2 linked regions of the Saccharomyces cerevisiae S288C genome follow. The gene in region 1 interacts genetically with each later gene. Each region holds a gene or a part of one and is shown in the gene's direction. Other genes may lie near its edges.

Region 1 (16,653 bases):
GCCTGAGATGGTTGTTCCCGAAAATTACATTCCGAATCTCACCAAATATCTTTCACAGCGTATCTCTTCTCGGCTTTCTCATATGACTTTATTCATCGACCCTTTAAAACTGTTCAATTATCTTTACCCTTTAGATATCAAGTTACAAATCATCGATTTAAAATTGCATTGGAGGAGGGAGTTTTACAATAATGATTATTTTGTTAAAAAGATACGACCCGGCAATCCTCTGACTAAACTATCGGAGGTTTTTGACAAGAGGACATTGAAAATTCTTACCATCATTTCTTGGAATGACACTTTGTTAAAACGCGAGACAGAAATGCTGAAAGATTTTAAAGAATTTGAGAACCTGGAAGATTTGTCTTTGATTTCTATTAAGCAGGATGTTCATATCCTCGTAGATCTTTTTAGTTCGTTAACCAATTTGAAAAGACTAAAAATGGATTTCTTAGAGGAGTATGTACCTGAACCCACAAATCCTCACATATTTCTCTCCATTCTTTTAGCTTGCTCCAAATTGCAATTCATAGATCTGAGATACGACGGTCTTATCCCACAAATCATCAATATTCAAGAAAATAAGTTCCAACTAAATCAGCAATGCAACTGCACAAACTGTCAAATAGTATTCAGTGACATTCTGAAGGGCAAAATATTCATGTTCCCTGAAGACTACTATATTCACGATCTTCAAGACATTGCTGCAAAGGATATTTTTAAAATGATGAAATACCTATCTTTGTTACCATACTCTAAAGCTTGTGATGCTTATCCGAGCGTTAGAACACAACCAATGAATTTGACTAATTTTGTGACCAAGATGAACCGCAACCTTTTGGAATATAGAAATTCTAAATCCCAGTTGGTGCCCAAAATCGTTAATAACCCACATCAACACTCCACCGTGACTTCCACATCAACCGCTCATATGAGCGAGCCCGAAATGATAATAATCGATGACGATGATGATGATGATGAAATTAATGCGGCCATTCCTCCAAGTAGTGATGACACAGCAGCTACAATTTCCACTGACCTGGAACTTCCTCATGAATCATTGACCAAAAGAGATATTATTATGTGTTATCACGCTCTTATCCATCACTTCAAGTCGATTTACGTTACTTTTTTGAAAAGTTTTCCTCATTTGAGATTCTTGATGTTGAATGACATTCCCACAATAGTTATGGAGGAGAATAATGAACGTATTTTTGAACCCGTCTTTTATCATTATGATTATAAGAGTAATCTGTATGGATGGTCAAAGGAATCGAACAAGAATCTGGAGAACGACAGCAACAACAACAATAATAATTCTGATACCATTGCAAGAATAGCCACTGTTATGTAATCAACTCCCCTTCAAATATATATATTTAATAATATATATTCAACGCATTTTTTAAGCTAGCAGGATTCAGATTACTGGTCTACTTCATATTAAGGAAATACAAGATCCATTCGGATGCTAGAAAAAAATCAACCAACTATTCCAATGTTGGTAAGCTGGTTTGATAAAGTAAACACAAGATACTACAGTATACGATCACTCAGACATCCTAGGAAGGTCTCTAAAGAAGAGCGGTCACCGAGAGTACTAACGATGGGTTCGTAAGCGTACTCCTACCGTGGAAACTGCGAATGTTAAGGAACCAGTCTTTCATCACCGTGATCATAAATTATATATATTATCTGTCTCCTCAAATTACCCACATTTGATAATCTCATGAGAAAAAATAAAGGCTCAGATCTGCATGTGTTGTATAACACTGGCAAGAAAAGTTCCCGTTTGCAAACACAAATGATTAAAAAAAAATGTCACAGAAGCAACATCTTTTCAAAATCATTCGCATTAAGAGAACGAGATAAAATCCCTTGTCGTCATGGTCGAATCGGACGAGGAAAGAAGAGACACCATTATCATCAGGGCCAATCAATTCTTCTTTTCTGTTTAAAAAAGTGTCATGAAATTTCTCTTGAGATTATTCAAACTTGAATGTATCAAATGGGAAGGAGTGCAATGCTGAAGTCGAAAGAGGAGGATTACTCTCATTCTTACTACATTACAGTCACTGCTGTTTGTTCTTATGTAGGGGAATTCTTATTAACCGAATGTCGAGATTATTATAACCTTACAGAAGGTTGTCCAGTATTTATACATTTTGTTTCTGCCCATAAAGCTCTAGAAAATGAAAAAAAATTTTCTTTTCAGCCTGAGAAAGTTTTTTCTTAGGGCAGCGTGTGGTTATTGGGTGTTGCGAAACTTTTTTTCTCAAACATGAAATTAAAGAAATGAAAAATTTTATCGATGAGCATTGAATAGCTCAAGTTATAGGGTATTCGGTATCATATAGGTCTGTGATCGAGTGAGCAGTGAGCAGCTAGGATTCAATAAACGGGATTAACAAAAAATTGATATGTCCAAGCTTTCGAAAGATTACGTATCAGATTCAGACTCTGATGATGAAGTGATATCAAACGAGTTCAGCATACCAGATGGTTTCAAGAAATGTAAACATTTAAAGAATTTCCCTCTCAACGGTGATAACAAAAAAAAAGCGAAACAGCAACAGGTTTGGCTGATCAAATTCCCATCAAATGTGGACATCTCCAAGTTAAAATCTCTGCCTGTAGATTTTGAATCCTCTACAACCATGACAATTGATAAACACGATTATAAAATCATGGACGATACAGATATTGAGTCCTCGTTAACACAGGATAACCTCAGTAATATGACTTTATTGGTTCCTTCGGAAAGTAAGGAAAGTCTTAAAATTGCTAGCACTGCCAAGGATAATGCACCATTACAGTTTGACAAGGTATTTTCTGTCAGCGAAACCGCTAAAATCCCAGCTATTGATTACAGTAAGGTAAGAGTTCCACGTAAAGATGTTCCAAAAGTAGAAGGCTTGAAGTTGGAGCATTTTGCTACTGGTTATGATGCCGAAGATTTCCATGTGGCTGAGGAAGTTAAAGAAAATAAGAAAGAACCAAAGAAGCGTTCACATCACGACGATGAAGAGGAGTCTAGTGAAAAGAAGAAAAAGAAGAAGGAGAAGAGGGAGAAGAGGGAGAAGAAGGATAAAAAGGATAAGAAAAAGAAACATAGAGATTGAATGCGTATGTGCGTATAACTGTGTGTAACATAAGATAAAAATGTGCATTTGTGTGTGTGTCAGTGATTTTTTTTCGCATTTACATATATAAAAAGGCATTTCTGCTGGTGGAAACTGATGAATGTTTTGTGTGGGCAATATTACTATTTAGTTTTGCATACTTAAATTTGTGTATACGATTAGAAATTTCAATATTTCGGGTGTAACACAAACGATTATTTTTTTCTTGATTTAGAGTCGCCATATGAATATTATTAACCTGCTTTTTCTGTGTTCTCTCTTATATGAGGTTCAATGGTAAGTGTGTTTTTAACTCGTGTTCTTCTTCATTAATCATCTTTAATACACTTCCAAGGTTGACCTGTAAATCTTCAAAGATTAGTTTATCCTGGCACGTCCGATGGATACTCCGTATAGAAATATCTAAGGATCTAATAAATTTGTATTGGTCCATTATTGGTGTGGACGGTTTCTTCGGTGACTCCAGCATTATTTTGCTTTGTATACTCAATTTTACGATATCAATTAACCATTTTTTGACCAATTTTGGTTCCTCTTCAACGCATTTCGAAATAGCCCTTAAAATACGAACAAGCAGGATTTGATTTTGGGTGAAAGAGAAACCATCATCTTTATTGTGGTTCAGGACCGTTAAATCAGGCAATATATGTGACTTTTCATACAAAGATTGATAAATTAAAATCAAATCGTTATTCCTCCAATTTGCGCCTAAAAGCTTAATGTAATGAATTATATTTTGACGAATATTATCTTCAGATACGTTAGAAGTTAGACATCTCCACAAAAGACGTCGCAGAGGAAACGGTAGATCACTGTAATCGGACAACCAACGAGGCTCGTAGTCTTTTCTTATTTGCACATCGTGCGTTCTATAATACAACAGGATGGATATCACTACTCTTTGGTATTCGTCAAACAAGGCTCTGTGCTCCCATACTTTATCGAATTTGTTGAACTTTTTTGAGAGCAAAATTTCTGTTATTTGACGCACATTAGTTAACTTGCCCACATACTGCAAAAGCAGCAGCCTATCATATAGATCCTCGGACGATGAACCTTGTAGTTCCTTCGAAGAAGAACTTTTGTTATCCGTTGCCTGGGTAACTATTGAGTTCAAATGTGAGAAAAGCACATCGTAATGAACAGCTACTTTTTGTTTCTTGGACTCTACTTCCGGTAGATTTGAATTCAGTATTCTCAGGATGTTCTCTATATGGTGATTTTGAAGATTATTTTCTTTAGTGCGTGAACGATTCAATAAGGAACCTTGTTCATTAACTTCAGAAGATTCAAACAAAGGCCCCAACAACTTCACTGGACCTTTGGTCAAGTATTTTAGAGTTGATTTCAGCTCATCATCTTTCGACTTCAATAGTCGGGTTGCTAACTGAGAAAAAGTCCTCCTCATAATCAATGATTCCTGTAGATAAAATTGACAAAAGGCAGCGCACGCACTATTTCCCTTTAGCCAGCACAATTACTTATGCGTGTTGTTGTTTAGGGTTCGTAAATCTATATTGAAACGCAATTTATATTCTACTGTTTTCTTTTCGCACAAACAGAAAACCGCTGTCACATTATTGTATGACTGTTGATATCGGACCATCATTTTCGACACTTTCATTGAGGGGAAAAATGTTGGTGTCATTACGCTCTCTACTCATGTCTTTATGTAAGTATACGTTTACAAGATTATTTATATGCTATGACACTACGGGTTCTCAACTTGCAGCAAAACAAGAAGCAGTTAGCGGCACATTTCGGTGCAAAAACTTATCAGCAGTTTTTGCTGCCTCTCTTTCACTAATCTAACTTACTATGTACGGCCGATAGCAGTATATTGTGCTTTTTACTGTCTTTTATTACTTTTGCTGTTGCTCTTGCTCTTGACTGTTCCCATCTTTGCTTCGGAAATTTCCCCATGCGCTGCAGGACAGAAACACAAGCATGATTGAAGCAATCGAATTGTGCAGTCGAGTTCAAAATTGGCAGAGAAGAAAAGAGGTGGAAATTGCAACACGAATCACCGCTTTACCACGCAAAGATATCTGGATTCTTGATATCAATCTTTTTCAAATATATTTTATTTATTTATCAAAAGGGCAAGAAAGAAAAAACGATTGATAATAAAAATGGATAATCAGCAGGAAAGTATATCTGAAGATATCACCGGTGATCTGGCCGCTGCTGTGAGAAAGTCATGGTCCGAGTCACAAGATAATCCATTACTGTTAAATTTTAATAATTCTCCCATAGGTACTCCCACTGATAGGTACTCCCCTGAACCAGCAACGATGATGGAAGGAAATGCAATGAATCTTTCATCACTTGCGAGAGGGTCGACACAGCAGCAGCAAAGGCTTTATGGATCTTCTCAAACACGCGAAAAATCTGATCAACAGCAGCAGGATTATCAGCTGTTCAAACATCATTATTCTTTGGGACAGGAGACGAGAGAGTCTGTTTCAGATATCCTTAACGATTTGACTCTAGGATCTCCGGAACCAAGCGAAAGGGCATCACCAATAAGGCAACCATCGGTGGATGTTCCACCTTTAACTACAAGGCGTAGTTCTATACAGGACGTTCAGTGGATAAGACATTTACTGAACCCAAGAAGTTCGTTTTCCGGCGCATCTTCCAATGAACCAACCAACTCTCCTGGGGATTTTCTTAATCAGAGCAGGGCTTGGATAACAATACTGCACGATTCATCGGCAGAATCTTTACAGGCTGTCATCGTATTGGCCGAGTCATTGAAGAATGTCAATTCTCAGTATAATCTCTGGGTATTGCATTCCAGTGAAGTCAACGCCTTTCAATTGGCCCAGGTAGGAATCAAGACGCTGATAATAGATGAATATATCAATTTATTCATGAATTTCGGCACTGGCTCGGGATTTAGCGCAAGTTCGCAATCGACCGAAACCAAGGGCGAATTGAATTTTAAGTGGTGCAAGCTATTTCTTTTTTTTTCGTTAATTGATCGATTCGAATTGATTTGCTATTTATCCCCTACATGCCTGGTACTGCAAAATATTGATGAGCTTCTAGAGAGCACTGAAGTATCTGACGAGATTGATAACGAAACTTGTGTATTGTTATCGAATAAGGTAAATTATATAAATGAAGATCTCGTTAGCGTGAACCAAGACCAATCTTCCGCTGAAAATTATGATGACGATCCTCAAATTATTATACTGAAGCCGAACAGGGCAGTAGCAATGTGCATTAAGGAATACTTTACTATTTACGGGAACGATTTTGAAGGTGAAAGTAAAAGGTCGATGTTTCATCAAATGAACGATTTACAGATTATGAAAGCATTGTTTGGCGATAAATGGAGTTATATAGATAGCGTTGGATACTGTGCTGTTCCCATAGCTAGCGTGCCAGCGAATAGATTGAATTATAAGATAATCGAATTTAAAATCCTGAAACCTTGGGAAAGACAAAACTACATTGCTGCCGGTCAACATCGAGAATCTATTATGAACAAGTGGCTAGATCTTTGGCGAGACTTTTTGAACCAAGCAAACTAAATAAGAATAGTACTGCTTTTCCGCAATTCTTCAATATTCATTAAAGGCGGTCCGGTACCCTCTTCATAGTTAATCCCATCATACTTATAATGTGTTTCATTAAAATGCAGTTATAATAACAAAAAATTATATTTTTTTTTGCTGAAACATGCCGGTACACCGTATTTGTAATCACTTCCTTTTGTATACTACCACATAGTCATTATCCTTCTTTTTAATTCCTTTTTTTTTGGTTTCCTTTATCATCACTATATCTGAAAGTTCAAGGTTATTTTAGCACTTCTACATTCTCGGGTGTGGCTAGAATTGGGCGGAATGAAAAAAAAAAACTATGTCCATCGCTTTACTAATTAGTGATCGCACCAAGAAAAACGAGCTGTACATTGCAATTGTACCTCTTTTTTTTTTCCTACTTAGAATCCCAATCGTAATTAATTCACTAAATTAACATCCTTAAAATGAAATTCGACAATGACAGTGAGAAGCAGGTTTTCGATAAGCTTAAAAAAGCGATTCCTGGTATTATCAAGGAAAAATGTGCAGGATACGATGAATTGTATGGTTACAAGTTGAATCCTGAAGGTCTTACACAAGAGGAGGTTGATAAATACTATGACGAAAAAATCGCCGATCGTCTAACCTACAAACTTTGCAAAGCCTATCAATTTGAATATAGCACCATTGTACAGAACCTGATCGATATTTTGAATTGGAGGAGGGAATTCAACCCATTGAGTTGTGCCTACAAGGAAGTCCATAATACAGAATTGCAAAACGTTGGTATTTTGACATTCGATGCAAACGGCGACGCAAATAAAAAGGCTGTCACTTGGAACTTATACGGCCAACTGGTCAAAAAAAAAGAATTGTTTCAAAATGTGGATAAGTTTGTACGCTACAGAATCGGGCTCATGGAAAAGGGTTTGAGCTTATTAGATTTCACCAGCTCCGACAACAACTATATGACCCAAGTCCACGATTATAAAGGCGTCTCCGTGTGGCGAATGGATTCTGACATTAAAAACTGTAGCAAGACGGTCATTGGAATCTTTCAAAAATACTATCCAGAACTGTTATATGCAAAGTATTTTGTTAATGTCCCCACCGTTTTCGGCTGGGTTTACGATTTAATCAAAAAGTTCGTTGACGAAACCACCAGAAAGAAGTTCGTGGTATTAACCGACGGCAGCAAGTTGGGTCAATACTTGAAGGATTGCCCATATGAAGGGTATGGCGGGAAAGATAAGAAGAACAATCTGACCAAGCAAAATGTCACAAATGTCCATCCAACAGAATACGGCCTTTACATTTTACAAAAACAAATCATCGAGGACGTTGAGTGATTTGTTGGCATGATCTAATAATAGTCTCTTATATAAACCCTATAATAATTTCTTATTTTTGCCTTATATTCAGGTAAATCACCATCTAACTGTATTATCTCTCACGTATCTTCACTTATATGGCTCAGAAAACACCGTACGAAACGAAGGGGCTGCGAAAATGTTTCTAGAAGGTAATGGCAATAATAGGGATACAGATCGATCAGATCCGCCTATATAAAAGACAACGCACCGAAGGTGAACAAGATCGCAGATAAAGGTATTTACAAGGGAAAAAAGTCAGCAAAAACAAGAGATAAGATAACAAGAAGAAGATGTTAAGGAGGGAAACTTCAACAATATACAGGACACACAAAAAAAGCAACAGTAGTATACTCAGGAGCCAGCGGGACCAGACTAGAGTGGATTCCTTGGTAGAGGAGTCTCCCATGGGCGATTTCGGGATCAATAACCAGCCTACACAGCCTGGCGTGATATACTACTTTGTAGAGCTGACTAATTTAGGCATACAGGAAAACACAAGCAGTAATAATAACAACAACAATAATCATGGTGACGATGAAAACGGCAGTCGATACGGCCACGGCAGCAGTCTGGGTGGAGACGTTCACTCTCGCCGTTGTTCATGAACTCCAGCATTATAAAGCATATCTAACAATACCATTCGGGTTATACTGAATAGCCCACGCACGGGTTCGGGGTTGTAACGATTATATGCATTTCATAACATGCCACTGTCAGTGGCGCCACGGAAGGATAGCGGGACTTTATCAAATCATTAATTTCTGTGCATAAAGTGTATAGTATATTCATATAGATATGTATATATATCATTGAATACAGAAATCTTCGGGTGTATACAACGAACATTCATCGGACGCCTTTTTTACTGCTATTGTTCAACAAAGTGGGTAACCCGGCATTCTTGCGCCAAAGTTTCCATTTTTATGCCAAATCCAGAGGATAAAAGCACTATTCTCATCAAAAGATGGAAAAGCTGTGAAAGAGTCAAGTTCAGAAGAAAGCGTTAAGAAAAATAGAGTACACGGGAGCGTTATGTCAGCCGATCATTCGAGAGATCCATGTCCTATAGTCATACTAAATGATTTCGGTGGTGCTTTTGCCATGGGTGCCATTGGTGGTGTTGTTTGGCATGGGATTAAAGGTTTTAGAAATTCGCCATTAGGTGAGCGTGGTTCAGGAGCTATGAGCGCCATTAAAGCGCGTGCTCCCGTACTGGGTGGTAATTTTGGTGTGTGGGGTGGTTTATTTTCGACTTTTGATTGCGCTGTGAAGGCCGTTAGAAAGAGAGAGGACCCATGGAATGCTATCATTGCAGGGTTTTTCACTGGTGGCGCTTTAGCTGTAAGAGGTGGTTGGAGGCATACAAGGAACAGTTCGATCACGTGTGCTTGTTTGTTGGGTGTGATTGAAGGTGTGGGACTAATGTTTCAAAGATATGCTGCTTGGCAAGCCAAACCTATGGCTCCTCCTTTGCCCGAAGCACCTTCCTCTCAACCTCTGCAAGCTTAGGCATGTAGACATTATATGAGCCATTTTTTCATCGTTGTTGGAAGTACCCTTATTCGGCATGTTTTTTGTTACATAAATGACGTATCGCACTAGCCTCCTTTACGTTTTTACTTTATTTCAGCCTTTTATTTCAAGATTACCAACCATTTCTCTCAACCATGTACATATTATATATTGAAAAAGTACCATACTTCATCTCTGAAGAGAAAATATCAACAAGCCAAAAGCTAGTGCAGAAACTTTATAATGTTACTTTATTAATTGTAATGACTATACGTATAAGGAAAATTAAGAAAAGGCAAAATTCATATTTATTTAGTATATCATTATGGCACCAAGCCGTAATAAAATGAAATGGGTAGTTAAGAAAAGTCAGACAAAATAACGATTTATTCTTCGACAATGTGAAGTTTATTGAACGCGCTTGTTGGCCCTTCTTGAACAGAATGAGTAACAGCAAAATTATTGGAGATGTCGCCAGATGTATTCTCCTTCCTTTTACTGATAGCACCAATGTCGACGCTATCAGCACCACCAGTGGCAGAGCTAGGATTATAGACATAGTTGTGGCCTGCATTGTTACTAGAGTCGTTCGCACTTCCATATTCACTTTGCTGGCCTTTTGCATCGTCATGTTTTTCTGAAGGACCCGGTAAAGACGATCCTGGAGGAAACCACTCACCTGTAAACTCCTGCTTTGTTATGAAGGGGTGTAGCATAGCTTGTTGTGGTGTCCATCTTTCTAACGGGTTCAAATTTAGCACACCGCCTAAAAAGTGGATCAAACACTCCCTATTCTGCATTTCTTGGTCGATAAGTTCTTGGGAGTTCTGTATGCTTTTAGGATACCTGTAGTTTCTAATAATATCTGGTAACTTTCTCCACTTAAAATATTGTTTACTGGGCTTTTCCACTATATTGTATTCTCTGCAAAACTCTTCAATAGTTTTCATACGATGCTTTTGTGTAGAAGAAGAACTTTCTTCTGGTGCCAATTTCTTCATAAATTTTCCAGAGTTTTTACCCATATCTATCATCCACGATGGAGGATATCCAAGCGTGTCTATTATTCTTGTTAATTGGTTATATTCAGAAGCGCCTGGGAAGATCGGTATACCCAAAAATAATTCAGCAACAATACAACCTAACGACCACATGTCAATACTGGTTGAATACGGTATACCCAGTATAATTTCAGGAGCACGATAAAACCTGGACTGGATGTATGTATAAACGGTTCTTGCCTCTTCGCAAGATGAGCCAAAATCAATAATTTTCAATTCCGGCTTATCAGGTGCGCAGAGCAAGATATTCTCTGGCTTCAGATCGCAATGAATCAGTTTGCTTTCCTTCAAAACGCATAACGAATCCAGTATTTGAGTGGTGAATGTTCTGATAAGTTGTATAGAGAGCCCATGAAATTTGTTTTGTTTTAATAATTCGTACAAATTATTGCTTAGTAATTCAAACACTAAACATAAGTGGTTCTTGTGGACAAAGGAGTCATACATCCTTAAAAAATGATGTTTATTAGTAGGGTCTATCTTTTGATTCAGTAGCTCTAAAATTTTAGCCTCCGTTATACTTTGAGTCAAATATTCTGTCCTCGATTTAACCACTTTTACAGCCAATATCTCTTTCGTCAGCAAATTTTGACATTTGACCACTTGACCAAATGTACCTTGACCCAAAATGTCTAGCACAAGGTACTTTCTGTTCTGCTCTACACCCAAAACGTCATTTACATAAAGAATATAGTCACTGTTTATGTTGTCGAATCCGTTGTTACATTTCCCTTCACTGGGCTTCGTAAGTACTCTCTTGGGGTTTTTGGACGTTTGGTAGGTAAATTCTGGAGAACATAAAGAATATGTGGTAATCAGGCTTTTCGTGACACTGACTAGGGGAGATATCGTCTTGGAATTGAGCGACGCACGTCTAAACTTTGGAGTAGCATTTAAGACAGGTTGAAGATCGTTTTTAGAGTTGCAAAGTTGCATCTGAGGAATGGACAATTTCTGACCTTGTACTTCATCTCTTCGTAACTGCTTGAAAGGGGGTTGTAGTGGGGGACTTGTACTAGGAGGATATGCGCTAAGCCTCCTGTAAGGTGACATGACTGGTATGGAGTTTGTTCCTTGATTAGTATTTGAATTTAGGGAAGAAAAATTGGACGAATAATTAGTTGCAGCCAGACTCTGCCTTCTTTGGAAATCTTGACGATCATAAAGGGAGGGAACAAATCTGGATCCAAATTGGGAAGGATGGATAGCGCCCTGCTGGTATACTTGCTGTTGTTGTTGTTGATAGCCAGAAGGATACTGGCCACTGCTATTTCCTGCCAAACTCGTATTAGAGCTGGTGTAAGCGGGATAACTATCGTACTGGAAAGGATTTGGGGCAGGTGCCCTGGCTGGAGGTACAACGAGACTAGATTTACGTCGTCTGTACGCATCTAGACTTTCGTTACTGTTTAAGTCATCGTATTGAGGGGGATACACCAGGTTTTGTTGAGAATTAGTTACTTTTTCCTCATTCCAAGGGTTAACAAAGCAAAATTGAGAATTCTGTTGTTGTTGTTGTTGCTGCTGCTGCTGCTGCTGGTGATGATTCTGATGCTGCTGCTGTGGAGACCTTTGAGAGCCTTGATTTACGTACGATGGATTCCATATACCTCTCCCCATATGGCTATTGTCTGGGCTTGCTCTACCCGAGCCCATACTAGCATCACTGTGGGTCACAAGGGTCGGGCTCAAGGAGTTATTCATGTTGCTATTGGAGCTGGACGAGTCGTTATTATTGGATGAGTTCATGATTGCTCAAATTAGCATGTGAAAAAAAGATAACGAAATTATGTTCCCTTGCACAATGGCTGTTGCTCTTCACCAAAATTCTTCTTTCGATATATTCCCAAATCTAATAGTGAGAAATTTGTGTAATACCCCCAGTAATGGCCCACCAATTGTTTCCTTATATCTGTTTAGCATTGCGACTCATTCATTGTTCAGCCCAGAAGGGGTAAATCTGAGGAGGGGGCATTGCTTGCAATGGTTCAGAAGGGGCGGTTAGGGTTAATAAAGCCATCGCGCTATTTTGATATTTTTATTAGGCCTTTTATATTTTTTTTAGTTTTTTTCTCCAAATCCTAAATCCTTTTTAGGTGTCATTTACGTGCAACGCGACAATAGTGATATTGTCATTCTTCAAACTTTTTGCAAGGTAGCTATTAAACATACCTACACACATACGTACATGCTTAACGGTGAGACAAAAGTAAAGAAAGAGACTTGAATGGGTTGCTGCATCTTAATAAGTTGAGTTTGAGGGCGAAAGTACACAAATATTCATCCGTATTGAAAATATATATATAAGAATATAGAAAAATGAATGTTTCTACATCAACCTTTCAAACAAGACGGAGAAGATTGAAGAAAGTGGAGGAAGAAGAAAATGCAGCTACTCTACAACTGGGCCAGGAATTCCAGCTGAAACAGATAAATCATCAGGGTGAAGAGGAGGAATTGATTGCCTTGAACCTAAGTGAAGCCAGGTTAGTAATCAAAGAAGCTCTTGTAGAACGTAGGAGAGCATTTAAAAGATCGCAAAAAAAACACAAGAAGAAGCATTTGAAGCACGAAAACGCCAATGATGAAACTACGGCAGTAGAGGATGAAGATGATGATCTGGATGAAGATGACGTCAACGCTGATGATGATGATTTTATGCATTCTGAAACTAGGGAGAAGGAGTTGGAGTCTATCGACGTTCTGTTAGAACAGACAACGGGAGGAAATAATAAAGATTTGAAAAATACCATGCAGTATTTAACAAATTTCTCCCGATTTAGAGACCAAGAAACCGTCGGGGCAGTTATACAGCTTCTGAAAAGCACTGGGTTACATCCTTTTGAAGTGGCGCAACTAGGTTCTTTGGCCTGTGACACAGCTGATGAAGCAAAGACTTTAATTCCAAGCTTAAACAATAAAATATCAGACGATGAGTTGGAAAGGATACTAAAGGAATTGTCAAACCTAGAAACACTCTATTAATAACTGTATGTATACGTGTGTGTAACTAGTAATGAATTTTCACCCTGTGGAAGTTAGGCCTATTTAACAGGAAAAAGGACAGGATTTTAAATCTCGTCTTGCTCTTCTTTTAAGAAATATTTGCCGCTACCGTTTTTCCACCATCTCATCAAACAACTATGTGGGGTTATATCTATGACACTTTCATCATCGCTTTTGCATCTACACCTCTGATCGAGCCTAACAGCGTAAGATGCTGGACAGGTGCCAAACGGTGAGTGAAAATAGCCAAGTTCGTCAAAATGAATGATTTCGTCAGGTCTCAGCAGTAGGGAGACACCAATTGAATGTACAGGTGCGTCACCCCACCTTTCGTAGTAAAATCCGCCCTTGGCATCTAAAGTTTCAAAAAAATGCTTATATTCGTCACTTCTGAAGAAATTCAAGTCGCCAATCTCAAAATTCGACCAAAAATGGCACAAATTGTAGTCAGAGTTTGCTTCAACAACGGGATAATGCTTACCAACTAGCCCTGAATCGGTCAAAAATGCATAGGCACTGTCCTCTTTACGTAAAATGGTCTCTTCGCTGGCCACTAAATACTCCTCTACCGCGTCCCATAAGGTTGGTATGGTTTCTTCATATTCATATAATGATATGACAAATCCGTATTTTTTGCCCTTCAATCTCATAACTCTGAACGGGTCATATGGGAAATCGCAATAATACTTGACATTGGGTTCCACCCTAAAGTAGTAATCATAGTTGTCCAGTATTGACTGCCGGAAAAAAAAACCAGAATTAAACCGACACATATTTCTATATGACTTGGATCCCCCATATAAAACACCCTCATCCTCCATGACTCGAAGTCTTTCTTCAAAAAGTGTATCGTTAATCCATTGCGGCCGATTCCAATCTTCTGGTGGTATTAAAGCATATTGGGTCTTCCCACTCGCCATTGATGTTGTAGCTTCAATGAAGTCTTGATCGAAAGGAACGTCATTTAGAAAAGTCCAATCATAATGATACTTGTTGTTAAATCTGTCCTCTAATGATCTCATTGAATCCAATGCCCCTTCTAATTCTGAATTTCTCACCAGCATTAAAATTGTTGCATTTTCTCGTAGGTGAAAAGAATCAGAATCATTCTGTCTGGTATAATTTAAAGTGTAGTCGTCGTAGCTATTGCGGGAAAGTTTTACTTTAGGAAAATAGTTTCTTCTTCGACTTGTATCATATTGTTCTTTTACTCTTTGGGAAAGAGCAGTATACGTACTGTCAATCTTTTGGTATTTTCGTATGAGGAATAACTCTTTGCCAAAAATATAGATCATAAAGGTCCATATTGGTAAGAATATGCCAACGATGTATAGCGAGCCTCCTTTTGCCATTTTAACAATTTCTGATGATAAACTTCTTTAATTTTGATAGCGACTTCCAAGCATTAGATTTGGAGATGATATGAATAAGCAGTGACAGATTATTTCTGCAGATGAAAAATAAAGAGGCGTAGTACTTTGTCTTTAACTTTCCTTTATTAAAAAAATGTATAGAAAATTTCCAAAGCGACCAGTAAAACAGCTAGTTACTCTTCACACACAAAGAAAAGAAGAAAATGAAGGGGAAAGTGGTTATGTGGCAGGTATAGCGAATAAAGAATTTAATTAAAGAATACATTTAAAGCAAATTTTCAACACAAAATATTGAAGGAATAATCAGAAAATTATTTAATTATTGTACATATTATATATTCAAATATTTATTATGAAATATCCCTAACAAAAAGACAATAAAAGGATAATCAATAATAAAAACAAATATGGGCAAAATAATATCATATAGGGGGTCAAGATAAGATAAAGGTAATATAGTTATGGATTTCTTCTCCTTAGAGATTAGTTCAACAAGGTAGCAATGTCGGATGGCAATTCTTCAATTTGAGTGGAGTAGAACTTTTCTAGTTCTCTCATAGCGCCAACGTCTTCGTTAGTAACAAAGTTGATGGCAACACCCTTTCTACCGAAACGACCACCTCTACCGATTCTGTGAATATAGTTTTCTTTGTTAGCTGGTAAGTCGTAGTTAATAACCAAAGAAACTTGTTGGACATCGATACCTCTAGCCAACAAATCAGTGGAGATCAAAATTCTGGAAGAACCACTTCTGAATTCCTTCATGATGGTGTCTCTTTCTTGTTGTGGTAAATCAGAATAGATGGCAGAAACGGTAAATTTGTCGTTTCTTAACTTAGTGGTCAATTCTTCGACCTTTCTTCTGGTGTTACAGAAGATGACAGCTTGAGTAACGGAGATAGAGTCGTATAAATCGGTCAAACACTCGTATTTGTATTCTTCTTCTTCAACATTAACGTAGAATTGTTTGATACCTTCCAAAGTCAATTCATCCTTCTTAACCAAAATTCTAACTGGGTTTCTCATAAATTTGGTGGTAACTTCCAAGACGTCATTTGGCATGGTGGCGGACAATAGAACAACTTGAGTGGTTGGTGGAAGTAAGGTGAAAATTTGGTAGATTTGTTCCTTGAAACCAGAAGACAACATTTCATCAGCTTCATCTAAGATGAACATCTTGATCTTGTCAGTTCTGAATCTACGTCTTTGGATGTTGTCAAAAACACGACCTGGAGTACCAACGACGATTTGAGCATCTCTCAAACCTTCAGCGTCTTCAACAAAGGAAGTACCACCGATACAAGCGTGGACCTTGATGTCCATGTGGAAAGCCAAAGCCATGACAACCTTTTGGATTTGCAAAGCCAATTCTCTAGTTGGAGCCAACATCAAAGCTTGAGGAGCCTTGACAGAGGTGTCAATTCTTTGCAAAGCAGCAATGGAGAAAGTACCGGTCTTACCAGTACCAGATTGAGCTTGAGCCAAGACATCGTGACCTTCAATAATAGGCATGATGGCACGTTGTTGAATGGCAGATGGTTCTTCGAAACCGTAACCGAAAACACCTCTTAACAAGTTTTCGTCCAATTCCATATCATCGAACTTGTAGACGACCTTGTCATAGTTGGTTTGAATTTGGGATTCTTCAA
Region 2 (16,777 bases), on another chromosome or scaffold:
AGTAGAGGACTGAGAACTTTATTTCAATTCATTGCTCCTTTTTGGTGGCGCTACCTTTAGCGAAGGTCAATGATGAATGTGCACATGCTGTCGAAACCAAAAAGCAAATTCTAACCAACTTCAAAATGACATAGTCATCTGATATTTCTACTCATTATAGATAGTATGGGAGCCTTGAAACGAAAAGTAAGTAAAAAGCTGGATATGAGCAGTATGAGGTAGACCTTAGCTACATCATTTCCCCCAATAGCTGCTGCAAATATCTGGTTAAATTTGTGATTCCATGAAGAGGATAACAGACTTGTTAAAAAGCATCCTGTCAAAATCTAATTTTTGAAGGGCAGTATTCAATTCATAATTTACTTTAGCTTAGATCCTTCCAATTTATACATGGTATTATAACCAGATCATAAACTACAATCTGTCGCTACCGCATGTACGAAGAATACTTAAGTCACTTGCTCTCTCATCATTTGTACATTTTTCAGTAATACCGTTTGATAGCGCCGTCTTTATTACCCGGATTATTCCGTTGACCCTGAATGAAAAATTTTTTCAGAAATCCAGTGCTAAGCGTCAAATCAATGAAATACATCACTGTATTTTTAACTGATATACTGTTGGTGTGGCCTTAACGACACCTTTATTTCTTAATTCATTTCGGCTTGTCTCCTTATTAAGACTACAGAAATAGACAAAGGAAATACTTCAATAATGGATAACGAGGTTGAAAAAAATATTGAGATCTGGAAGGTCAAGAAGTTGGTCCAATCTTTAGAAAAAGCTAGAGGTAATGGTACTTCTATGATTTCCTTAGTTATTCCTCCTAAGGGTCAAATTCCACTGTACCAAAAAATGTTAACAGATGAATATGGTACTGCCTCGAATATTAAATCTAGGGTTAATCGTCTTTCCGTTTTATCTGCTATCACTTCCACCCAACAAAAGTTGAAGCTATATAATACTTTGCCCAAGAACGGTTTAGTTTTATATTGTGGTGATATCATCACTGAAGATGGTAAAGAAAAAAAGGTCACTTTTGACATCGAACCTTACAAACCTATCAACACATCCTTATATTTGTGTGATAACAAATTTCATACAGAAGTTCTTTCGGAATTGCTTCAAGCTGACGACAAGTTCGGTTTTATAGTCATGGACGGTCAAGGTACTTTGTTTGGTTCTGTGTCCGGTAATACGAGAACTGTTTTACATAAATTTACTGTCGATCTGCCAAAAAAGCATGGTAGAGGTGGTCAATCTGCGCTTCGTTTTGCTCGTTTAAGAGAAGAAAAAAGACATAATTATGTGAGAAAGGTCGCCGAAGTTGCTGTTCAAAATTTTATTACTAATGACAAAGTCAATGTTAAGGGTTTAATTTTAGCTGGTTCTGCTGACTTTAAGACCGATTTGGCTAAATCTGAATTATTCGATCCAAGACTAGCATGTAAGGTTATTTCCATCGTGGATGTTTCTTATGGTGGTGAAAACGGTTTCAACCAGGCTATCGAACTTTCTGCCGAAGCGTTGGCCAATGTCAAGTATGTTCAAGAAAAGAAATTATTGGAGGCATATTTTGACGAAATTTCCCAGGACACTGGTAAATTCTGTTATGGTATAGATGATACTTTAAAGGCATTGGATTTAGGTGCAGTCGAAAAATTAATTGTTTTCGAAAATTTGGAAACTATCAGATATACATTTAAAGATGCCGAGGATAATGAGGTTATAAAATTCGCTGAACCAGAAGCCAAGGACAAGTCGTTTGCTATTGACAAAGCTACCGGCCAAGAAATGGACGTTGTCTCCGAAGAACCTTTAATTGAATGGCTAGCAGCTAACTACAAAAACTTCGGTGCTACCTTGGAATTCATCACAGACAAATCTTCAGAAGGTGCCCAATTTGTCACAGGTTTTGGTGGTATTGGTGCCATGCTGCGTTACAAAGTTAATTTTGAACAACTAGTTGATGAATCTGAGGATGAATATTATGACGAAGATGAAGGATCCGACTATGATTTCATTTAAATAAATAAAAGGGGGAGAAAAAAATCGAATCAAAAAGAATTTAATCACTAGATGCCAGATTTAAATTAAATTCGCTTTTAATTTTTTGTACAATATAATATATACTTGGTAAACCTTTTGCTCTATATTGAGCTAATTCCTTTGTTGAAAGTACATAGTGGGTTTAGAGGACCGTGTATATTACGTAGAAAATACAGTGAAAGGAGAGTTTCTCTTCAAAAGCCTCGAGATTAATTATTTCTCTTTTTCTTTTTCTTCAAAGTTTCTAAGGCGTTTGTCTTTTCATGACCAATGATAGAATTATGACCTCTTTTTTTGACCAAGTTATCAGCTAAATTCACTAGCCCACCTGTCAAATATTTCTGTCTTCTATCTTTACGTATAGGCACTGATAACAATTCGTTCAACGTAGCTCTCATGGCTTTTACCTTGTCCTTATTTATAGTCTTCTGCATTTTTTTATTTTTATTTTTTAGTAAGAAAGTGTCCGAATTACTCTTTGATATATCGTCTTCGTCGGAATCAACGTCAATACCTAATTCATCAGCAGCCTTTTTTAACCAATTGTCATCTTTTCTTAGGGAATTAGAAGCAATTTCATGATCAGCCAGTTCGCCTGCTAATCTACTTCTTTCTCTGAGTTGTGAAAGTATATCGGTTTCAATTGGTAACAAAGGCACAGTGTTTTGCCACTTGATGGGTTTTCTGTTAGTTGATCTAGAGTTCAAATCCGTCGAAACACTATTTTTTGTAGCGAGAGTTTTTCTTAACTTTCTTAATGGGCCCATAGATTCTTGAGGTGAGCATATCATGGCAGAGACACCTTCAGAACCTGCTCTTGCAGTTCTGCCTGATCTATGAATATAAATATCAGTAGATCTTGGTAAGTGGTAATGAATAACGTGTTGAACACCCGGAATATCTAAACCTCTAGCAGCAACATCACTTGCAATCAATACTGTTGAGAGTTGAACGGAATCCGGATTCGAATGATTTATTGTTTTCTGTTTAGCGCTTTGTTGCTTGAACCTTTCTAAGCTTTTCAAACGGTTCTTTTGTGTCATGGAAGAATGAATTTGAAAAGCTGGGATGCCTAGGTTATTTAAGTATACGGTCAATTTCTTCACGGAGTCAATGGCATTACAAAAGATCAAAGTTGTACCTGGGAACATGGTTAAAAAGTAATAGCAGTATAGGTCACGTTCTAATGGAGGACATTCAATTAAGGATTCTTTGATTTGAGAGCTCACTTTTGACTCAGGATTTGTATCTATTATAACCGGCTTTGAGTTGAAGTGAATTTTGCTCATTAAGTGTTGTATTACGGCATTTAGCTCATCTTCGTTGTTTTTAAACCTTCTATCCTTAACTTGACGGGAAGAAGATAGCTTATCAAACAAGTCGATGGAGAATGTTGCAGAAAAGATCAAAGTTTGCCAAATTTTGCTACTGCCCTCGGAGTTTTCTCTGTTTTTCCTTCTTTCTACTAATAAATGTTTAATGATTTTTTCGAACTCGTCGAAATGACCGTCTTGTAACAGCCTATCAGCCTCATCAAGGATTAGCGTATTTACTTTCGAGAATCTTTTGATTAAAGTGTTGTCTTTTTCCAACAGTTCCAAAAATCTACCTGGTGTTGCGATGACAATTTGGCCACTATTATCGTACTTTAATAGACGTTGTTGTTTTTGGATAGAGAGTCCACCTGTCAAAGATAATATCGAGTACTGAGATTTCGCTAGAACAGGCTCACAGATCTTTTTTAAGTGGTCTGTGACTTGATGCGCCAGTTCTCTTGTAGGAGTAAAGATTAACGATATTGGTTTCTTGTTTTTCTGAGAGAAGTTACTGATCAGTTTCTCTACAATTGGAATACCATAGGCTAAAGTTTTACCTGAACCTGTAGAGGCTTTCCCCATGACGTCTACGCCTTGCATAATAACTGGAATAGACTTTTTTTGAATTTCTGTAGGTCTGAGAAAATTTAAATTCTGCAAGCTCTGCAAAATAGTCATTGAGAGAGGTGCAAGATTCGTCCATTCAGGTAAATTTACAGGAGAAATATCATCGATATTAATGTCTTTGTTAAAGACGTTTTCTTTCAAAACATCCTCATCCACATCCTCATCCACATCCTCACTGGGATCGGTTAACTTTGAACTCTCAATATTACCTTGCTCATCCTCGTCGGATGATGAATAAGATGCTGCACTCAACTCTCCTTCTTTAATATCGTCCAAGTTCTTGAATTCAAGGAGCTCGGACTCCGAATCTGACCCTGATTCATTTTCCACAGATTCCTGATCATCTCCGACTTTTTCCTTATTGCTATCTTTTAACACTTTTGAATCTTTTTTGGTGACGAAAGTTACTTTACCATCCACGACTTTAACGTCCACTCCGTCAATTTCTTCCAAGCCATAAAATCCACCAAAGTCATCTAAAGTGTCCGGAATATCTACTGGTTTCCAGTTCAATTTGGATTCATCTACAATTATCTCCTGTGGCTTTGTGACCGTTTTTCCTTTTTGAGGAGCCCTTTTCTTACCCATGATGGAAAAACTGATTATGCCGGTATTTGACTAAAGAATTTCTACCTGAGGTTATGATGATAATGATGGGCAGGTTGGCGAATATAACTTTTTTAGATGGAAATTCTTATAAGCTCATCGCTGGAAAAGTTTTTCAGAGAAAAAGAAAAGTACGGACTAACTAACCTTGAGGCGGGTTTGTGAGGTGAAAAAAAATATAACAATTATAATATCGATGAGCTAGCCATGACCTTGATGGCAATCTTGTATCAGCTTAGCGATACCACTAATACAGCGGAATGCATTCAAGAAAGTCGAAGAGTATTACGGGCAAGAGGAAGCAAGTAGGAAGTAACGTGACGAGAGTAATCAAGCCACAGAAGACAAGAAGGATAATAAGAAGATTCCACCATTTAATTAATAAGCGTCAATCGATATGCAAGTTTTTATGCCTTAAGGAAAACCTAGATGATTCCAACGAGGAGAAGAATGACAAAATTATCAGGTTAAGTATTAAAGGTAATGTAAGACTGGGCAAGTACTATGAAGACGGCAAATCGCAGTCCTTCAATGATGCTATGGAATCACAACTACTGAGGCTGCACTCATTAATTAAAAATGAATCCAAATCAAAGGATACTTCTGACTTGGCTGTGATGTACACATTACTTGGTTACATAATGAATCAGATTAATAAATTGGGAGGACTAGAAACTTACCAAATTGCCAGTCAAAACGGGCAATTGAAGGAACGAGGAGGAGACACGTCCAAGTTGCTCGAGAAATGGATCAGGTCCTCATTTGAAAATTGTCCTGGAGCAGTGGCATTAGAAATTGGTTCATTGAGCTCCGGAAATCGCATATCCCGTTGTGCACTTTTTAGAAATGTGGTTCGTATAGATTTAGAGGAACATGAAGGCGTTATTAAGCAGGATTTTATGGAAAGACCGCTACCGAGAAATGAAAACGACAAATTCGACCTGATATCATGCTCTCTAGTGCTAAATTTTGTCAAAAATCACAGGGATCGCGGTGCAATGTGCCATCGCATGGTCAAATTTCTCAAGCCGCAAGGCTACATCTTTATTGTTCTGCCACAAGCCTGTGTGACGCACTCAAGATACTGCGACAAAACACTGTTACAAAACCTCCTCGGCTCTATCGGGCTCATAATGCTTAATAGCCATCAAAGTAATAAGTTGTACTATTGTTTGTATCAATTGCAGGTAGTTCCACCGCAGCCGAGTAGCTTTTCCAAAAGAATCAAGGTTAACGACGGCCCTGGGTTGAACAATTTTGGTATTACCCTCTAAGCGAGCCGACACCGCCTGGAAGTTTTTCATAAAGGGATACAATATAGAAAGATGTGTAAAAACGTTAAGTAAAAGATGAGCAAATGAACAGTGTTCGAAGGAGAATAACAAGAGTTACTGCTCATATAAAACTAATATACTAAAGGTTTTCGCTTTGTATTACGATTGAAACAATTAACTGTTTTTTTTTTTTCCGCTTATTACACAGTACCGGTTTCATTTACGCCTTTGATCATTTTATTGGCATTGGGCTCATAGTAGTTTTCAGCGCGTGGTTAAGCTATTTAACGAAAGCGTATAAAGTCAAGTGATCATCTTTTGCCCTGCAAATAGAGCTTCAAACTTAACATTCTTCTTCAGCATATAACATACAACAAGATTAAGGCTCTTTCTAAAATGAATCAAAGCGATCCGCAAGACAAAAAAAATTTCCCAATGGAATACTCTTTGACCAAGCATCTTTTTTTTGATAGGCTTCTACTTGTTCTTCCCATAGAATCTAATTTGAAAACATATGCTGATGTGGAGGCAGATTCAGTTTTCAATTCGTGTCGGTCCATCATTTTGAATATAGCCATCACTAAGGACTTGAACCCGATTATCGAAAACACATTAGGTTTAATTGACTTGATTGTGCAAGATGAAGAAATTACGTCTGACAATATTACAGATGATATTGCCCATTCTATATTGGTTCTTTTGAGATTACTGAGTGATGTTTTTGAGTATTACTGGGATCAAAACAATGACTTCAAGAAAATTAGAAACGATAATTACAAACCGGGATTTTCAAGTCACAGGCCAAACTTCCATACATCTAGGCCAAAGCACACGAGAATCAATCCAGCTTTGGCGACGATGTTACTATGTAAAATTTCTAAGCTGAAGTTCAATACAAGAACTTTAAAGGTTTTACAGAACATGTCTCACCATCTTTCTGGCAGCGCTACTATCTCAAAATCGAGTATTTTACCCGATTCACAGGAATTTTTACAAAAGAGAAACTATCCAGCATATACCGAGAAAATAGATTTAACAATAGATTATATCCAGAGATTCATATCTGCTTCCAATCATGTTGAATTCACAAAGTGTGTCAAAACAAAAGTTGTTGCACCTTTATTGATATCACACACCTCAACCGAATTGGGCGTAGTAAACCACTTGGATTTATTTGGTTGTGAGTATTTGACTGATAAGAATCTGCTAGCATATCTGGACATACTACAACACCTGTCAAGTTACATGAAGAGGACCATTTTTCATTCGCTTTTGTTATATTATGCTTCCAAAGCTTTTTTATTTTGGATAATGGCAAGGCCAAAAGAATACGTCAAAATTTATAACAATCTAATATCATCAGATTATAATAGTCCGTCTTCTTCATCTGATAATGGTGGTTCGAATAATTCTGATAAAACGTCTATATCCCAACTAGTCTCACTGTTATTCGATGACGTTTATTCCACTTTTAGTGTATCATCATTATTAACAAATGTCAATAATGACCACCACTACCATCTTCATCATTCATCTTCTTCATCAAAGACGACCAACACTAATAGTCCAAACTCTATATCAAAAACGTCGATAAAGCAGTCGAGTGTGAATGCTTCTGGCAATGTTTCTCCGTCTCAGTTTTCTACTGGGAATGATGCATCGCCTACTTCCCCTATGGCATCATTGAGTTCACCCTTAAACACGAACATCCTAGGGTATCCGTTATCTCCAATCACTTCAACACTAGGACAGGCGAATACTTCCACATCGACTACGGCTGCAACTACCAAAACAGATGCAGATACGCCCTCTACTATGAATACTAACAACAATAATAACAATAACAACAGCGCTAATCTTAATAATATTCCACAACGCATATTTTCCTTAGATGACATTTCATCCTTTAACTCGAGTAGAAAATCACTCAATCTAGATGATAGTAACTCCTTGTTTCTTTGGGATACTTCTCAGCATTCTAATGCATCGATGACAAATACAAATATGCATGCAGGAGTTAATAATTCTCAGTCTCAGAACGATCAGTCTTCTTTAAACTATATGGAAAATATTATGGAGCTGTATTCCAACTATACCGGATCAGAACTATCCTCCCATACTGCCATATTAAGGTTTTTGGTGGTTCTGACCTTATTAGACAGTGAAGTATATGATGAGATGAACTCAAATTCGTATAGAAAAATTTCGGAACCGATAATGAATATTAATCCGAAGGACTCTAATACTTCAAGTTGGGGCTCAGCATCCAAAAACCCAAGTATCAGGCACCTCACCCATGGCTTAAAAAAACTTACTTTACAGCAAGGCAGGAAACGTAACGTTAAATTTTTGACATATTTGATTAGAAATTTGAATGGGGGACAGTTCGTTTCAGATGTTTCCTTGATTGACTCTATCAGGTCCATTCTATTCTTAATGACAATGACGTCTTCTATATCCCAAATCGATTCAAATATTGCTTCTGTTATTTTTTCGAAGAGATTCTACAACTTGTTGGGTCAAAATTTAGAGGTCGGCACCAATTGGAATTCTGCCACTGCAAATACTTTTATTTCTCATTGTGTTGAAAGGAATCCCCTTACACATAGGCGTTTACAATTAGAGTTTTTTGCAAGCGGTTTACAGCTGGATTCTGATTTATTTTTAAGACATTTACAACTGGAAAAAGAACTCAATCACATAGACCTTCCCAAAATATCGTTATACACTGAAGGATTTAGGGTATTTTTTCACCTAGTAAGCACCAAAAAACTTCATGAGGATATTGCAGAAAAAACCTCCTCTGTGTTAAAGAGACTTTTCTGCATAATTGCTGATATTTTGTTGAAAGCAACGCCTTATTTTGACGATAATGTAACCAAGATTATTGCTTCTATATTGGATGGGCATATTTTAGATCAATTTGACGCTGCGCGAACACTTTCTAATGATGATCATGTCAGTTTTGATGCTGCCACAAGCGTTTACACTGAGCCAACCGAAATTATTCATAACTCATCGGATGCCTCGTTAGTCTCTTCACTTTCCCAATCACCCTTATCAATTAACTCAGGAAGCAATATCACCAATACGCGCACCTGGGATATTCAATCAATCTTACCAACCTTATCGAACAGATCAAGTGCTTCTGATTTGAGCTTGTCTAACATTTTGACTAATCCGTTGGAGGCACAACAAAATAATAATGCAAACTTGTTAGCCCATAGATTATCTGGGGTTCCTACTACTAAGAGATACGCTTCACCGAACGACTCTGAAAGATCACGACAAAGTCCATATTCTTCTCCGCCGCAATTGCAACAAAGTGACTTGCCTTCTCCGCTCTCAGTCCTCTCGTCAAGTGCAGGATTTTCTTCTAATCATTCGATTACGGCAACCCCAACTATTTTGAAAAACATCAAATCTCCAAAACCAAACAAAACAAAAAAAATTGCTGATGATAAACAATTGAAACAGCCTTCTTATTCAAGAGTAATACTGAGTGACAATGATGAAGCAAGAAAGATTATGATGAACATTTTCAGCATTTTCAAAAGAATGACCAACTGGTTTATACGCCCAGATGCTAATACAGAATTCCCGAAGACTTTTACGGATATTATAAAACCACTTTTTGTCTCTATATTGGATTCTAATCAAAGACTACAAGTTACAGCGCGGGCTTTTATTGAAATCCCATTAAGTTATATAGCTACTTTTGAAGACATTGATAATGATCTTGACCCAAGAGTACTGAATGACCATTATTTGTTATGTACATATGCCGTTACTTTGTTTGCTTCATCATTGTTTGATTTGAAGTTAGAAAATGCGAAGAGAGAGATGCTACTAGACATTATTGTTAAATTTCAACGAGTCCGTTCTTATTTATCAAATTTAGCAGAAAAACACAACCTAGTCCAGGCAATAATTACGACGGAGAGGTTGACGCTGCCATTATTAGTTGGTGCTGTAGGAAGTGGAATTTTCATTTCATTATACTGCAGTCGTGGAAATACGCCACGCTTAATAAAAATTTCATGTTGTGAATTTCTACGATCCTTGAGATTTTATCAAAAATACGTAGGCGCTTTGGATCAATATTCCATTTACAATATTGATTTCATAGATGCTATGGCCCAGGACAATTTCACTGCCTCAGGATCAGTGGCTTTGCAACGGCGTCTAAGAAATAATATTTTAACTTATATCAAAGGATCCGACTCAATCCTTTTGGATTCAATGGACGTGATTTACAAGAAGTGGTTTTACTTCAGCTGTTCGAAATCAGTTACGCAAGAGGAACTAGTAGATTTTAGAAGCTTGGCAGGCATTCTAGCTTCTATGTCAGGTATTCTGTCTGATATGCAAGAGTTGGAAAAAAGCAAGAGCGCTCCAGATAATGAAGGAGACAGCTTATCATTTGAGTCACGAAATCCCGCTTATGAGGTGCACAAAAGTCTTAAACTCGAGTTAACGAAAAAAATGAATTTCTTTATTTCAAAACAATGTCAATGGTTGAATAATCCAAATCTATTAACAAGAGAAAATTCGAGAGATATATTAAGTATTGAGTTGCATCCTCTATCTTTTAACTTATTGTTTAACAACCTAGGACTGAAAATAGATGAACTGATGTCAATTGATCTTTCAAAGTCACATGAGGATTCATCGTTTGTTTTACTAGAGCAGATAATAATTATAATAAGAACTATACTAAAGAGGGATGATGATGAAAAGATAATGCTACTCTTTTCGACGGACTTGCTTGATGCGGTCGATAAGTTGATCGAAATAGTGGAGAAAATTTCCATCAAGTCCTCCAAATATTATAAGGGAATTATCCAAATGTCGAAAATGTTTAGAGCATTTGAGCACTCTGAAAAGAACCTGGGCATTTCAAATCATTTCCATTTAAAGAATAAATGGTTGAAGTTAGTTATTGGTTGGTTCAAACTATCTATTAATAAGGATTATGATTTTGAAAACCTGTCAAGACCATTAAGGGAAATGGATTTGCAGAAAAGGGACGAAGATTTTTTGTATATCGACACTTCTATTGAATCTGCAAAAGCATTGGCTTACCTAACACATAATGTTCCTTTAGAAATACCGCCTTCAAGCTCAAAAGAAGATTGGAACAGATCTTCTACAGTATCATTTGGCAATCACTTTACTATTTTGTTAAAAGGTCTGGAGAAAAGCGCGGACCTGAATCAGTTTCCAGTTTCATTAAGGCATAAGATCAGTATACTTAATGAAAATGTAATAATAGCGCTAACGAACTTATCTAATGCCAATGTCAACGTTTCTTTAAAATTCACTTTACCAATGGGTTATTCTCCAAATAAAGATATCAGAATCGCCTTTTTAAGAGTTTTCATCGACATAGTAACCAACTATCCAGTTAACCCTGAGAAACATGAAATGGATAAAATGCTAGCTATAGACGACTTCCTGAAATATATAATCAAGAACCCAATATTAGCATTTTTCGGAAGTTTAGCGTGTTCTCCTGCTGATGTTGATTTATATGCTGGTGGATTCTTAAACGCCTTTGACACTAGAAATGCGTCTCATATCCTTGTTACTGAGCTCCTTAAACAAGAAATCAAACGGGCCGCAAGATCAGACGATATTCTCAGAAGAAATAGTTGTGCAACAAGGGCTTTGTCACTTTACACTAGATCTAGAGGTAACAAATATTTGATAAAAACTTTGAGACCCGTTTTGCAAGGGATAGTGGATAACAAGGAGTCTTTTGAAATTGATAAGATGAAACCAGGATCCGAAAACTCCGAAAAGATGTTAGACTTATTTGAGAAGTACATGACAAGATTAATTGACGCAATTACAAGTTCTATTGATGATTTCCCAATAGAATTAGTTGATATCTGTAAAACAATTTACAATGCTGCTAGTGTAAATTTTCCAGAATACGCATATATTGCCGTTGGGTCATTCGTTTTCTTGAGGTTTATCGGGCCTGCTTTAGTTAGTCCTGATTCGGAAAATATCATTATTGTTACGCACGCCCATGACAGAAAGCCCTTTATTACACTAGCTAAAGTTATTCAAAGTTTAGCTAATGGCAGGGAAAATATATTCAAGAAAGATATCTTAGTTTCAAAAGAAGAGTTTTTGAAAACCTGTAGTGATAAAATATTCAATTTTTTGTCTGAATTGTGCAAGATACCGACTAACAATTTCACCGTCAATGTAAGAGAAGATCCGACACCAATAAGCTTTGACTACTCATTTTTGCATAAATTCTTTTACCTCAATGAGTTTACCATAAGAAAAGAAATTATTAATGAATCCAAATTACCAGGGGAGTTCAGCTTTTTGAAAAATACTGTTATGCTCAACGACAAAATTCTTGGTGTATTGGGACAACCTAGCATGGAAATAAAAAATGAAATTCCTCCTTTTGTAGTCGAGAATCGGGAAAAATATCCTTCATTGTATGAATTCATGAGTCGCTATGCCTTCAAAAAAGTGGACATGAAAGAAGAAGAAGAGGATAATGCGCCATTTGTACATGAAGCAATGACATTGGATGGCATACAAATCATTGTCGTAACTTTTACCAATTGCGAGTACAATAATTTTGTAATGGACTCACTGGTCTATAAAGTTCTGCAGATATATGCAAGAATGTGGTGCTCTAAACATTATGTAGTTATCGATTGTACCACCTTTTATGGGGGTAAGGCTAATTTCCAAAAATTGACTACTCTATTTTTCAGTTTGATACCAGAGCAAGCATCAAGTAATTGTATGGGATGTTATTACTTCAACGTCAACAAATCATTTATGGACCAATGGGCCTCATCATATACTGTAGAAAATCCGTACTTGGTCACTACAATTCCCCGTTGTTTCATCAACAGCAATACTGACCAAAGTTTGATAAAGTCCTTAGGATTGAGTGGTAGGAGTTTGGAAGTTTTGAAAGATGTAAGAGTTACTTTGCATGATATTACCCTTTATGACAAGGAAAAAAAGAAGTTTTGTCCCGTGTCCTTGAAGATAGGAAACAAATACTTCCAAGTTTTACATGAGATTCCGCAGTTGTACAAGGTTACCGTATCAAACAGGACATTCAGCATCAAATTCAACAATGTTTACAAGATATCAAATTTAATTTCAGTCGATGTCTCTAACACCACAGGCGTTTCCTCGGAATTTACGTTAAGTCTTGATAATGAAGAAAAGTTGGTATTTTGCAGTCCGAAGTACCTAGAAATTGTGAAAATGTTTTATTATGCCCAGTTAAAGATGGAAGAAGACTTTGGTACGGATTTTTCGAACGATATTTCATTTTCAACATCCTCTTCAGCAGTTAATGCTTCTTACTGCAATGTTAAAGAAGTTGGTGAAATTATATCACATTTGTCATTGGTGATCCTTGTAGGTTTATTCAATGAGGATGATCTCGTCAAAAACATATCATACAACCTTCTCGTGGCAACGCAAGAAGCATTTAATTTAGATTTTGGGACAAGGCTTCACAAATCCCCAGAGACATATGTACCCGATGATACCACCACGTTCTTGGCCCTAATTTTCAAGGCTTTTTCAGAATCTTCAACGGAACTAACTCCATATATATGGAAATATATGCTGGATGGCCTTGAAAACGACGTGATTCCTCAAGAACATATTCCTACGGTTGTCTGTTCATTGTCATACTGGGTACCAAACTTATATGAACATGTATATTTGGCAAATGACGAAGAGGGACCAGAGGCGATTTCACGTATAATCTATAGCTTAATCAGGTTGACGGTCAAAGAGCCAAATTTCACGACAGCTTACCTTCAACAGATTTGGTTTTTACTGGCATTGGATGGTCGTCTCACGAACGTGATAGTTGAAGAAATAGTAAGTCATGCGCTGGATAGAGATTCAGAAAACAGAGACTGGATGAAAGCTGTGTCAATACTAACCAGTTTTCCAACGACAGAGATTGCTTGTCAGGTAATAGAGAAGCTAATAAATATGATCAAATCTTTTCTACCTTCTCTAGCAGTTGAGGCTTCCGCACACAGTTGGTCTGAGCTTACTATTTTATCAAAAATTAGTGTGTCAATTTTCTTTGAATCACCCTTACTTTCCCAGATGTATTTACCGGAGATTCTTTTCGCTGTGTCTCTGTTAATTGATGTCGGTCCTTCGGAAATAAGAGTCTCATTGTACGAGTTGTTGATGAATGTTTGTCATTCTTTAACCAACAATGAGTCCTTACCTGAAAGGAATAGGAAAAATTTGGATATCGTCTGTGCAACATTCGCACGTCAAAAGTTGAACTTTATCTCCGGTTTTAGCCAAGAAAAAGGTAGAGTTTTACCAAATTTTGCCGCTTCCTCCTTCTCCAGTAAATTCGGAACATTAGATCTCTTCACTAAAAACATTATGCTATTGATGGAATATGGTTCTATTTCAGAGGGTGCACAATGGGAGGCAAAATATAAGAAATATTTGATGGATGCGATTTTTGGCCATCGGTCGTTCTTCTCTGCGAGAGCTATGATGATTCTAGGTATAATGAGTAAGTCGCACACGTCCCTTTTCCTTTGTAAAGAACTTTTAGTTGAAACCATGAAGGTCTTCGCAGAGCCAGTTGTGGATGATGAACAAATGTTCATCATTATAGCTCATGTCTTTACTTACAGCAAAATTGTCGAAGGGTTAGATCCTTCTTCAGAATTAATGAAAGAGCTATTTTGGCTTGCTACAATATGTGTTGAATCCCCTCATCCTTTACTCTTTGAAGGTGGTCTCCTGTTCATGGTAAATTGTTTGAAGCGACTGTACACGGTCCATCTTCAACTTGGATTCGATGGCAAATCGCTAGCCAAAAAATTAATGGAATCTAGAAATTTTGCTGCTACGCTTTTGGCTAAGTTAGAGTCATACAATGGATGCATATGGAACGAAGATAATTTTCCTCATATTATTTTAGGTTTCATTGCAAACGGTTTATCCATTCCTGTCGTAAAAGGAGCCGCATTAGATTGTCTACAGGCCCTTTTCAAGAATACATATTACGAAAGAAAGTCCAACCCAAAATCCTCCGATTATCTTTGTTACCTTTTCTTACTCCATTTGGTCTTAAGTCCTGAACAACTTTCTACCTTGTTACTTGAAGTCGGCTTCGAAGATGAACTGGTACCTTTAAATAATACACTAAAAGTGCCACTTACTTTGATCAACTGGCTAAGTTCAGACTCAGATAAATCTAATATAGTCTTATACCAAGGAGCACTTTTGTTTAGCTGTGTTATGTCAGACGAACCATGTAAATTCCGTTTTGCTCTATTGATGAGGTATTTGCTCAAAGTCAACCCTATTTGTGTATTCAGGTTCTATACGCTGACTAGAAAGGAATTCAGGAGGTTATCAACCCTAGAACAATCATCTGAAGCGGTTGCTGTCTCTTTTGAATTGATTGGGATGCTTGTTACACACAGTGAGTTTAATTACCTAGAGGAATTTAATGATGAAATGGTCGAACTTTTAAAAAAGAGAGGCTTGTCAGTTGTGAAGCCTCTGGATATTTTTGATCAGGAACATATAGAAAAGTTAAAAGGAGAGGGTGAACATCAAGTGGCAATTTATGAGAGAAAAAGATTAGCAACAATGATACTGGCAAGAATGTCGTGCTCCTAATTTTAAATTAGAGTATTGCAGTGATTATATACGTTTTTCCTTATAATTATATTTTGTTTTATATTTGTTGGATTGTAGATTTTAAATTAAATGAAACGTAGAGATTTGTGTAAAGTATAATGATTGCAAGGTTAAGAGTGAAACATTTTTAGAGCACTACTAACTAGCATTTTCCAAGGTGGAAAGATCCGAAAAAGCACGATTACCGGAAATCCAACTGTTGACCATTTCCAAACTTGCCTCCGGTTGATCATAGGGCACCATATGACCGGCATCGTATATTCTCAAAAAGGTGAAAGGGCCATAGTTCTTGACTTGTCCCAACTCTTCACCTGTTTCTTTACTGACCCATGGTCTTAACATCCTTCTCTGATACCTACGTTTATTGATCCATTCCAACTCATTGGACCAAGCATGGTTTCCCAGCCAATTACAAATATAATCCTTATCACCCGCATATATTAATACCGGAATGTTGTGATTTAATAATTCAGCAATATATTGTTGAAATGGTTTACTTCCATCGCCCGTAAACAAAAATCCGGTGAACACGTCATTATCACAGCCAGAATAATTATGCACGTCGGACCCTAGCGTTTCTTGAACTTCAGGAAAATTCATATACTGGTCGACATAGCGGAGACCTGTATAACACATACCATCAGTACTATTATCTTCACAGGGCCCTCTAATGTCATAGACGTTGAGTCCTGTGTTAATGTACGGTTCCAAAAGTGCAGAGTCACAGTAAGCAGTGGCGACTATGCATGGTAAACTTGATTTAGAAGCATAACATAACTTGTTCAACCTACGACAACGACCTGCAGCTTTACTCATTTTCTCACATTCTTCTGATGAGAGAACAGGGTGATAGCCCCCTTTCCCGCATGCCATTGGTTCATAATAATCTGCTTGAATCAAAGGGTCTGTGATACCATTACCAATCATAACTGAAGTTAAATTGAACGTTCTTTCAGGGTTCTTGACAACGATCTCATGTGCAATTTGAGGGATATAATGTCCTGCATAGGATTCGCCTGCAATGTGGAAATCGTTGGAGCGTAAATGAGGAAAAGCTTCAAAAAACAATTCCAGGAAAATGTACGCATCTTTGCCTGCTAATTTTGTAGAGGAGACTTTTTCATCACCATAGGAAAAGCCGACTCCGAGTGGCTGTTCTAAGAAGATCATTGAAGCGTTATTATTCCAAGAATAGGGATTGTGGATTGG

What was found.
Region 2: mutations in SFH5 (region 1) and BMT2 together harm fitness more than expected from each alone (negative genetic interaction), as found in Saccharomyces cerevisiae (2 studies listed by BioGRID).

What each region holds. Positions count from the first base shown.
Region 1 is NC_001142.9:138,017-154,669, forward strand, and holds SFH5 (Sfh5p), read left to right. Parts: upstream 1-7,143; coding exon 7,144-8,028; downstream 8,029-16,653. Other genes in the region: SCF ubiquitin ligase complex subunit DAS1, read left to right, coding at 1-1,354; DNA-directed RNA polymerase I subunit RPA34, read left to right, coding at 2,421-3,122; SMT1 (Smt1p), read right to left, coding at 3,403-4,551; IDS2 (Ids2p), read left to right, coding at 5,276-6,685; ROQ1 (Roq1p), read left to right, coding at 8,343-8,657; protein transporter TIM17, read left to right, coding at 9,085-9,561; IRC9 (Irc9p), read right to left, coding at 9,803-10,195; serine/threonine protein kinase YAK1, read right to left, coding at 9,951-12,374; DNA-directed RNA polymerase II subunit RPB4, read left to right, coding at 12,945-13,610; mannosyltransferase YUR1, read right to left, coding at 13,697-14,983; and 1 more. UniProt on the Saccharomyces cerevisiae protein: Non-classical phosphatidylinositol (PtdIns) transfer protein (PITP), which exhibits PtdIns-binding/transfer activity in the absence of detectable PtdCho-binding/transfer activity. Regulates PtdIns(4,5)P2 homeostasis at the plasma membrane.
Region 2 is NC_001134.8:516,120-532,896, reverse strand, and holds BMT2 (25S rRNA (adenine2142-N1)-methyltransferase), read left to right. Parts: upstream 1-4,858; coding exon 4,859-5,872; downstream 5,873-16,777. Other genes in the region: SUP45 (translation termination factor eRF1), read left to right, coding at 715-2,028; MAK5 (ATP-dependent RNA helicase), read right to left, coding at 2,259-4,580; GTPase-activating protein IRA1, read left to right, coding at 6,269-15,547; ATG42 (carboxypeptidase C), read right to left, coding at 15,707-16,777. UniProt on the Saccharomyces cerevisiae protein: S-adenosyl-L-methionine-dependent methyltransferase that specifically methylates the N(1) position of adenine 2142 in 25S rRNA.